2 linked regions of the Sus scrofa genome follow. The protein of the gene in region 1 interacts with the protein of each later gene in a pairwise test. Links are inferred from orthologs where the notes say so. Each region holds a gene or a part of one and is shown in the gene's direction. Other genes may lie near its edges.

Region 1 (5,197 bases):
GTGTTGCCTGGCTGTGGCGAGGCCTGCAGCTCCTGTTCAGCCCCTAGCCTGGAACTTCCAAAGGGTGGGTACTGTCCTAAAAAGAAAAAAGAAAAAAAGAGAAAGTATACCATTTAGAAATTTGACTCAAAAAAATTTGTAGGAGACTTGATTTTAAAAACCACTGAGTAATAAATGATAATGTTGGGACTAGGAAGACATACCTTATTCTTGAATGAGAATATTTTATATTTTAAATGTATCAAATGTCCCCTAAATTAATCTGTAAATTTAATGCAGTTTCAACTAGAACGCTAACAGATTCTTTTTTTAAACAAAATAATCTGGAAAAAATAAGCATGAGAATTTTCAGGAAAATCTGGAAAGACAGCAATACTAGGTCATAAAAATCTGTTAAAAATATAAAGCTGCCCTAATAAGATGACATGTTATAGTGTGAATTAGAAAAGAATAAAGCTCACAATACCTATGGGAAATGATGGGGGCTCTACAGTCTGGTGGCTAAGAGCCTTGGCTCTGGATTATACTTGCGTTTAAGTCGCTTCTCTGCTTGTCCCTAGCTCTGTGACCTTAAACAAGTTAACTTGCTAAGCTTCCTTTTCTACAGCTGTCAGCTGGGTATGATGATAGAATCTGCAGCTGCTAAATGAGATTATATACCTAACACACTTAACGGTACCTGTTCCATGATATATATTCAGTATTTGTTGTCAGTAGCAGGTGTAGAATGTGTTAAAGGTAGCTTGTTATGTCAATTGAGAAAAGATAGATTATTCAGTAATTATTATTGGAAAGAAAGATTTTAAATAAGATAAACCATATAAATACTATTAGAAAGCATAGGTGAACTTTTTTTCTCTCATAAATGACAGACAGCTAATTTCCTTAATGTGTTAGAAAGCACTAAAAAAGATGTACTACTAAGTAGTAAAATGATCAAAGTAAAAAAAAAAGTATGTTGCTGTCTAATTTATTATGAAATCAAGGAACAAGCAAAAACTAAGAAAGTGACTGTTGAGTTGGAAGAGGGAATTGATTTGAAAGTAGCCTGTGCAAACCTTGTGGACTGAGGGGAATGTTCCATATCTCAGATGGTTATAGGGGAATTTACAACTGTCAGAGCTTACTGACCTGAACACTAATCCATGCATTTTATTGGGAGTTAATTGTACTTGAGGTTTTTTTGTTTGTTTGTTTTTGTCTTTTTGCCTTTTCTAGGGCCGTTCCTGTGGCATATGGAGGTTCCCGGGCTAGGGTCGAATCGGAGCTGTAACCGCCGGCCTACACCAGAGCCACAGCAATGCAGGATCCGAGCCACGTCTGCGACCTACACCACAGCAACTCTGGATCCTTAACCCACTGAGCAAGGACAGGGGTCAAACCTGCAACCTCATGGTTCCTAGGCAGAGTCGTTAACCACTGAGCCATGATGGGAATTCCTGTACTTGAGTTTTATTTATTTATTTATTTATTGTCTTTTTGCTATTTCTTTGGGCCGCTCCCGCGGCATATGGAGGTTCCCAGACTAGGGGTCGAATCGGAGCTGTAGCCACCAACCTACGCCAGAGCCACAGCAACACCAGATCTGAGCCACATCTGTGACCTACACCACAGCTCACGGCAACACTGGATCCTTAACCCACTGAGCAAGGGCAGGGACCGAACCCGCAACCTCATGGTTCCTAGTCAGATTCGTTAACCACTGCCACGACAGGAACTCCTGTACTTGAGTTTTAAAGATTGAAAAACATAATCCAAAGCCATGAGCATATTCACAGAAAAAGAAGTCTAAATGAGGTATTAAATATAAATGATGCTCTGCTTTCCACCTAATTATGTAAGTTAAAACAACAAGATGCCAGTTTTTTTAACCTATCATAATTGAAAATGACTTACAAATTTAATAACATCCGGTGATGAAGGGGAATTTTAAAAAGATAGTGTAGGAGTTCCCTTTGTGGTTCAGCGGTTAACGAACCCAACTAGGATCCACAGGGATGAGGGCTCAGTCCCTAGTCTCTGCTCAGCAGGTTAAGGATCCGGCATTGCCGTGAGTTGTGGTGTAGGTCAAAGACGAGGCTTGGATTTGGCTTGGCTGTGGTGTGGGCTGGTGGCAACAGCTATGATTCGACCCCTAGCCTGGAAACTTCCAGATTTCGAGGGTGTGGCCCTAAAAACAAACAAACAAAAAGAATAAAAAGGATAGTGTAAACTGGCATGGGCTTTTTGAGATGGATTTTAGATGACCTTACCTGTCGATTATATATTTCACCTCTAGTACATTTCCCTGATGATAGACTCAGAAAGATGTGTTGAGAGATGTTCATTGTGTTGTTATTTAAAACAATTCAAAATGTGAACAATCTAAACTGCCACCAAATTGAGTGTAAACTGAATTATGGATCACTTTTATGTGATGTGCAACCATTAAAAAGGGATGAAGTTCATAGAGCTGTATGAATGAACTATTATAGAAATTATAAGTGATTAAGATTCCATTTAAGTTAAAATGATAGAAAGTTACTTAAAGAATATACAAGAAATGGTAAACACTGGTTTTGAAATATTCCTTCTTTTTTTTTGTTTTTGTTTTTGTTTTGTTTTAGGAAAATGTCTGATGAATTTTCGGTAAGTTGATGTATTTATTCTTCATAGGTTTTTGGCTCTTAGGAAAAAAAGGCGTGGTCCTGATTGTGGGCCATAAGTTTAAGAGAAATAGCTTTTGTGATCCTTGGATTTTTTTTTTTTTTTTTTTTTTGGCATGTGATTTTGATAGATGATTTGCCTTAATTTACTTAGCTTTAATGTGTTTGAAAATGCATTCTGTCTGTTTATTTCTTTATAACTCCTTAAAGTGTTAAGTCTGTCCTCTTATCCTGATGTTAATAATAGCCAACATCTGTTGAAAATTATATACCAGGCACTGTATTAAGTGCATTACATGAGTTATCTTGTTAAGCATCAAGTTAGCCCTAAGATACTGTTTTGAAAATGAGGAAACCCAAAGCTCAGAAAGGGTATATAACTTATTTGAACTAAAACCAGGATTCAGCTCACACTATGCTGATCAGCTGTATTTAGCAAACTTGAGTTTCTCTGTGGAATTTGCACTGTAAAACTGAAATTCAAGGTAACTCCTCAAATTTTGTATTAAATAAGTTGTTTTTAAATTGGCTTTTGAAGAATCCCTAAACCTTTATGGGTTTATATTCATGTTTGGCATTACTTGTCCCTGAATGAGATGAGTAAGACATGCTTGTTTTGTATTCCAGTTGGCAGATGCACTACCTGATCACTCCCCTGCCAAAACCTCTGCTGTGAGCAATACAAAACCTGGCCAACCTCCTCAAGGCTGGCCAGGTTCCAGCCCTTGGAATAACCCAAGTGCTCCACCTTCTGTGCCATCTGGACTCCCACCAAGTGCAACACCCTCCACTGTGCCTTTTGGACCAGCACCAACAGGAATGTATCCCTCTGTGCCTCCCACTGGACCACCTCCAGGACCCCCAGCACCCTTTCCTCCTTCTGGACCATCATGCCCCCCACCTGGTGGTCCTTATCCAGCCCCAGCTGTGCCAGGCCCTGGCCCCACAGGGCCTTATCCTACACCAAATATGCCCTTTCCAGAGCTTCCAAGACCATATGGTGCACCCACAGATCCAGCTGCAGCTGGTCCTTTAGGTCCATGGGGATCCATGTCTTCTGGACCTTGGGCACCAGGAATGGGAGGGCAGTATCCTACCCCTAATATGCCATATCCAGCTCCAGGGCCATATCCTGCTCCTCCTCCTCCCCAAGCACCAGGGGCAGCACCTCCTGTTCCATGGGGCACTGTTCCCCCAGGAGCCTGGGGACCACCAGGGCCATATCCTGCCCCTGCAGGATCATATCCCTCACCAGGACTCTATCCTGCTCCCAGTAATCCTTTTCAAGTGCCTTCAGGACCTTCTGGTGCTCCACCGATGCCTGGGGGCCCCCATGTGAGTGTTTAATTTGTTATTTAACATGTACTAATAGTCCCATAAGCACAAATGACAGATTGTCTCCAGTTTGGGATGGAAGATTAGAAAGCTTTTTAACCTTTTTAAAAAAAACAAAAACAAAACCAAAAAACTGTATATAAAGTAAGAGTAAATTTCAAGCTTCAGATGAACTTTGGGTAAAACATTTAAAAGGATGAAAGCACAAGTTACACATTCCTGATACTAAAAATAAGAAACTTCCCCAAAGACTGTACTGTAGTGAGCAATGTCCTCAAATAGCATTCATCGGGTAAACTCAGATGTATTTCATTGGACTTTTTAAAATTATAACATTTCTCAGTAATGTTTTCTAGTATCATAGCAAAGCACAAAGTTCAATAAAAGTAATCTCTGCCATTCTGGCTGGATATAGAGGTAGTTTGTTTTTTTTTTTTAAAGAGAATCCAAGGCAGTGAATGTGTGATGTCGCCCTTCTTTGATACAACTGCCTGTAGTGTTTCTCGGTCAAGGTTTTGTTAGATCCTTAGCAGCGTTGAGCTCCAGGTTATACCACTCTTCTGCTTTGCCAGTTATATATAATGCCATATGCTTTACTGTCAGCCAGGCTAGAATAGGGTTGATACCTTAGTGGAGGACCCTGTCTCAAACATATGACCAAATAGAAAAGCACCCTGTTTCCCCGTGAACTGAGCCAAGCCAGATTCTTAGGGGGAAAAAAAATCTATTTATTCTTAACAAAGAATGAATCATATCTCCAACCATATTAATCAGTCATCCACTTGAATTGTAATGGAAAAAAATCTTAAAGGGCCCTCAACTTCTTTTCATTAGTTTAAGTTGCTATTATATAGTCTTTAAAAATTTTTTTTCTAAATTGTATGCCAGAATAAGTGATGATTTGCCGTTTGGATTTATTAAGCAATAAATAAATTTTATTTTAAGCCACAGCAAGGAGTTAGTAAACTCCATTTACGAAATCTAGAAGTTTACTTTTTCTTTTTTCTGTTGCAGTCTTACCATTAAGTTAACAATGGACGAAGAGATGACGCTTTGCTTTTTGAAGTACATATATATATGCACATGAATGCATATATAAAAATTGCTGTTTCACTATTCTTAGAGGGCATTCATGAAAGAACACCTCTTGCACCTCTCAGAAGATATCTGCCTCTTGTGCTTGGATGTTTAGTACATCTGATGGATATAATCAGATA
Region 2 (5,197 bases), on another chromosome or scaffold:
CCCGCCCCAGGAAGGTGGTGCTAATGCACAGGACATGCTGTGCAAGGGCCCTCGGACCCCGGGGTGGGAGGAACAGAGACCACCAGCCTGCCGAGACCAGGAGGGTGGGAGGTCTGTGCCGCAAGCCCAGAAGGACACAGCTGGTCTCCAGCAGAGCAGTCCCGAGCTTCAGGAAAGGGGGCCCAGCTTCGAACCTCCGCGCATGTGTTGACAAGCTTGGTGAACACGTGGCGTGTCCCTTCCATCCTGGCCAGAGGTGTTCCGGCTGGTCACTGGTGGTCCGGCTAAGCATGAAAGTGGGTCCATCTTAGAGGCGTTTGCCAGGTGCCCATGAAGTGTGTGGCTGCAGGTCTTGGGGCGCCTGAGCCCCGGAGTGGCTTCTGGTGGCGGTTCTCCGAGTTAGCCACCCGCTCAGCAACCTTCCCTTTGCCACAGCCGCCGACACAGAGCATGACGCTGGGCCCCGGGGGGCTGTCGCAGAGCGGCTCCAGCCAGGGCCTGCACGCCCAGGGCAGCCTCGGCGACGCCATCGGCGCGGGCTTGCCGCCCTCCTCCCTCATGCAGGCCCAGATCGGCAACGGTGAGAGGCCTGGGTGCAGTGGGTCGGGGCTGGCTCCGGGGCACAGGGTCACTGCCGAGGGTGACAGTGGCCGGCTGCCGCCATCCATGGGGGACCTCGGCCCCCTGGAGGTCCTGCTGCAGGTGCATGCGTGCAGTGAAACATGGGGGCACAAAGCCGTCATTCCAGGTCCTCTGCTGGCACGGCAGGGCGGGGGCACGTGCGGGCCCCTGACAGGAACGGAAGTGTTCTGTCCTTGGGTTAAGAACCATTAACAGGCGTCAGGAGCTATTAGCAGCAGCATCGTGGGGAGCAGGCAGCTGCCCCCCTCCTGCCCCCGTCGCAGTCACGTGCCGGATTCCCAGCGCCCTTGACCGTGGTCAGCCTCCCTCCCACGGTGGCCGGAGGGAAGCGAGCGAGCGTGAGCGGAGGCAGGGCCGCCGTCAGAGGGTTCAGATGCCCCCCCCCCCCCGCCGTCCCGCAGGCCCGAACCACGTGTCGCTGCAGCAGACGGCGCCGAGCACGTTGCCCACCACCTCCATGAGCATGTCCGGCAGCAGCCACGGCTCGGGGCCCGGCTACAGCCACTCGGGACCCGCCTCGCAGAGCGTGCCCCTGCAGGGCCAGGGCACCATCAGCAACTACGTGTCTCGGGCCAACATCAACATGCAGTCCAACCCAGGTACCGCCCTGCCCGGCCCCACCACCCTCCCGCAGGTGTGCAGGCAGCTGCCCCGGGGACGGAGCCCGGGGGCGCCGGCCAGGTGGGTGGGGGGCTAGGTGGCTGCCCGTGGCGGCTTCAGGGAAGGCTCTGGGGAGGGGTGGCATGTGCCCCACTGGGAGGACAGTCTGGGGCTCCCATGGGTGGGGAGCCGGCGTGGCCAGAGTGCAGGAGCGGGAAGCAGGCAGGGCCAGCTGAGGGGCCAGGGGGAGCCCCGTGAGCTGGCTGTCCACCGTGGCAGTGGCTTGGGACCTTGGGCATTTGGGAAGCATCAGGTCCAAACGGGGATGGCCCCGAGTGTCAGGCAAAGTCCAGAGAGGACCTGAGGCGCCTCCTTGGTTTATTGAAAGCGATCTACTTTGGATACGTTGAGTTGAATAAAATATGTTGCTGCACTAGCTTCCACCTGTTTCTTTTGGCTTCTCTTTGTGGCTCCTCTCCCGTTGTGCTGGTCGGCCCTGCCCTAGAGGGTCCTGAGCAGGGGTGACAGGAAAGGACAGGCTGTGACAGGGCCCCTGCCAGGGGCCTTCGAGGCCCGGCTCTGGGGGTGGGAGTGACACACTCCTCGGGGACCAGCCTGGGGGAGTGAGGGCTGGCATTTCACTCACGTTTTATGAGTCGCCCAGAGGTGCACTGGCCGGAAGGGTGCTGTGGCCTCGAGAGGCTGGCCTTGGTGGGGGGGCCCAGGCCGGGGAGGGAGGCGCTGCCCCGGGAGCTTCTCGGGGTTATTCGGGGTCTGTCGTGTCGCCCAGTGTCCATGATGCACCAGCAGGCGGCCTCGTCCCACTACAGCGCGGCGCAGGGCGGGGCCCAGCACTACCAGGGCCAGTCCATGGCCATGATGGGCCAGAGCGGGCAGGGGAGCGGCATGATAGGGCAGCGGCCCATGGCCCCCTACCGGCCCTCCCAGCAAGGTAAGGCCCGCCCTCAGTGCCTCTGTCTCCGTGGGAACCGGTGGGGGGTGGCACAGAGCCCTGGGCTGTGACAGAAGCCGGTGCCGTCCCCTGGGTGGGTCAGGTGCGAGCCCCCGTTGGGGGCGTGTCCATGGGGGAGCGGGGCCGGGATGCGAAGTCTGGGGTACCAGGGGCTGGATGGGTGGCAGAGGCCTGGGGTCCCCTGGGCGGGCATCCCCCAACTGGTGGCCCGCTGGGGAGATTCTCGGGTGCAGGAGTTAACTCCCAGTGCTGTCTCCCAGGCTCGTCCCAGCAGTACCTGGGTCAGGAGGAGTACTACGGCGGCGAGCAGTACGGCCACAGCCAGGCCGCCTCGGAGCCCCTGAGCCAGCAGTACTACCCCGATGGTGAGCTGCGGCGGTCCCAGTCCAGACCCCGTCACCCCAACACCCGCTGGCAGAGCTCACAGAGCCCCCTTTGGGGCTGGGGTGGGGGCGGCCACCCTGGGCTGGGGGGTGAGGTCCTTTGAGTGGACGGATGGAAATGCCTTAAAAAGTGGACATAAAAGTTGTGAGTTCCCTGGGGTGCAGCAGCATCTGCAGTGTCTTGGGAGTGCTGGGACGTAGGTTCAATCCCCGGCCCGGCACAGTGGCTTGAGGATCAGGCGTTGCTGCAGCTGTGGCCTAGGTCATGTCTGCGGCTCGGATCTGATCCCTGGCCCGAGAACTACACAGGCTGCGGGGCGGCCAAAAAAAATTGTGCAGCGCCTTCGGGACGGTGACAAGCCTGAGCTGACTGTCCCGTGTCCCTCACCTCCCAGCTGCTCGGTCAGTCTCGGCAGGCTCTTTGCCTTTTCTGGGTCACCGTTCAGGCATCTTTAAGTAGTCTCAGGTTTTGTGGAGGTGCCATTTAAAGTGGCCGTAGAGGCTGGGTGGGATCTGGGGAGGACCCCAGGCAGGGAACGGTGTGAGCTGGCCGGCTCTCGGTGTGGGTGGTAGGGAGGTGGTTGAGGCCAGTGCCAGGCAAGCCGTGAGCCCTCCGTGTAGCAGTGACCAGGCCTCGTGGGGGTCGTGTGCTCCTGATGGGATCCCACAGAGCAGTGTGGGACAGTGACCACGTAGTGACGTTAAGAGCTGCGGACGCCGCCCTTATCCAGCTTCACGCGGCCCCGGGAGCAGGGGGGCCGCGTCCAGCTGCGACTCTCCTGACCCCAGCGGCTGTGTTCCTGGCTGTCCCTGCCAGGTCTGGGTGGTCAGGGCCCTCCGCTGACTGCAGGGTGTCCCCGTCTGCCCACAGGACACGGCGATTACGCCTACCAGCCGTCGTCCTACACAGAGCAGAGCTACGACCGGTCCTTTGAGGAGTCCACGCAGCACTACTACGAGGGCGGTAAGGCGGCCGCGGGCTCCTAGCCGGGTGTGCCCGGGGTCTGGGGCGGTGTCCGCCAGTGCCTACGTGTTTCTGAAGCAGGAGGGCCTCGGGGTCCAATCCACCACCTGGTCGAGGCTCAGCCTCCTCGGTCAAGGCCATCCGTTGTTCTAAACTCGGGTGGGCGGCCGGCAGGGACCCAGGCGCCCTGCCCCCTCTGGACCCGAGCCGCTGGCACGTGTGGGGGGGTGTTGCTGCAGTGGGGGTGGCCTGGGCATTGCTTCAAACACCTGCTGGCCGATAAGGCGCATCTGGGGGTGGGGGTGGTCCGGTGCAGGGTCAGATGGAGGTGAGGCCACGACGTGTTGGCCGTGGCCGCCTGGACAGACAGCCCTGCTCGGTAGTGCTCGCCCATTCCTCTGCCGTAAGCGCTCCCAGCCCCACTGACCTGAAGCCGTCCAGGTGACGTCCCTAAACATAGATTTGGGAAGAAACAGGCACAGGTGATTCACAGCGGCTGCCAGCTGGCCCGTCGGGTGGAGGGACTTCCCAGCGTCCTCAGGAGGCCCCCGAGAAGAGGGCATGAGCGCCCAGGGTGACGTGATGTCCAGGTACCCACCTGGGTGTCGGGAGCAGGGAGAACGGAGGGGCTGCCGGGGGTCCTGGAGAAAGAGGACAAACGGTCCATGTGGGACGGGTGCCTTGAAAAGTCGCGTTTGACTTCCGGGGTGATGTTTTCCTAGCGGTAAAATCGCAGAACAAAACCGACCGTCTTAACCATTTTAAGTGCACGGTGCAGGGGCGTTAAGTGCGTTCCCATTGTTGTGTCCGCATCCCTGCCGTGGTCTCCGAACCTTCTCAGACCCTGGCCCCCGCCTCGCCCCCGGCCCCCGCACTCCTCTGGGTCCCTGGGGGGGGGGTCACACAGGGTTCGTCCTTTCCCTCAGCAGCACCTCTCCAAGGTCATCCATGTGGGAGCAGGTGTCAGAACTGCTTTCCTTTCTGAGGCAAATTGACCACATTCAACTTGCCCCTTCATCTGTTGATGGGCCCTTGGGTTGCTTCTCCTTTTGGCGATTGTGAGTCGTGTTCTAGGAATGTGGGTTTACAAACATCTCTTCCAGGTCCCGCTTTTGATTCTTTGGGGTGCAGGCAGACCTCTCAGATATTTGGCTCGAGACCATCAGGATAAATCAGAAGTTGCAATAGAGAAAGTCACCTGAGTTTTTTGGTTTCACAGTATATACAAAACTAAAAAAAACCCAATGTATTTAACTTAATTTAAAAATAAAAACCCTGGGAGTTCCCATTGTGGCTCAGCGGTAACGAACCTGACGGGCATCCATGAGCATGTGGGTTCGATCCCTGGCTCTGCTGAGTGGGTTAAGGATCCAGGGTTACTGTGAGCTGTGGCGTAGGCCGGTAGCTGCAGCTCCGGTTCAACCCTGAGCCTGGGACCTTTCATGTGCTGTAGGTAAGGCCGTAAAAAGAGAAAAAGTAAGAAGCGAGAGTTCTCGCGCGGCCGGGGTGCTGCAGGTGCTCTGCCGAGACCCTCTGCACCCCTGCGGACGTGGCGCTGCGAGCGGCTCAGCGTCTGCGGGCTGCGCTCTCCCACCTGCGCGCTGTCTCTGCGTCCACAGCGCCCCCTGCCTGCCG

The links. The genes of interacting proteins can lie anywhere in the genome.
Region 2: the proteins of MAPK1IP1L (region 1) and SS18L1 interact in binary tests that used the Homo sapiens proteins (3 or more experiments, as listed by UniProt). The two-hybrid records come from large-scale screens. The link is inferred for Sus scrofa from reciprocal best matches to the Homo sapiens genes MAPK1IP1L and SS18L1.

Annotation. Positions count from the first base shown.
Region 1 is NC_010443.5:184,407,133-184,412,329, forward strand, and holds part of MAPK1IP1L (MAPK-interacting and spindle-stabilizing protein-like), read left to right. Parts: intron 1-2,606; 5' UTR 2,607-2,610; coding exon 2,611-2,628; intron 2,629-3,272; coding exon 3,273-3,980; intron 3,981-4,994; coding exon of another isoform or gene 4,995-5,006; exon of another isoform or gene 5,007-5,197.
Region 2 is NC_010459.5:61,580,973-61,586,169, forward strand, and holds part of SS18L1 (calcium-responsive transactivator), read left to right. Parts: intron 1-435; coding exon 436-580; intron 581-1,043; coding exon 1,044-1,241; intron 1,242-2,032; coding exon 2,033-2,194; intron 2,195-2,475; coding exon 2,476-2,580; intron 2,581-3,469; coding exon 3,470-3,562; intron 3,563-5,197. UniProt on the Homo sapiens protein: Transcriptional activator which is required for calcium-dependent dendritic growth and branching in cortical neurons. Recruits CREB-binding protein (CREBBP) to nuclear bodies.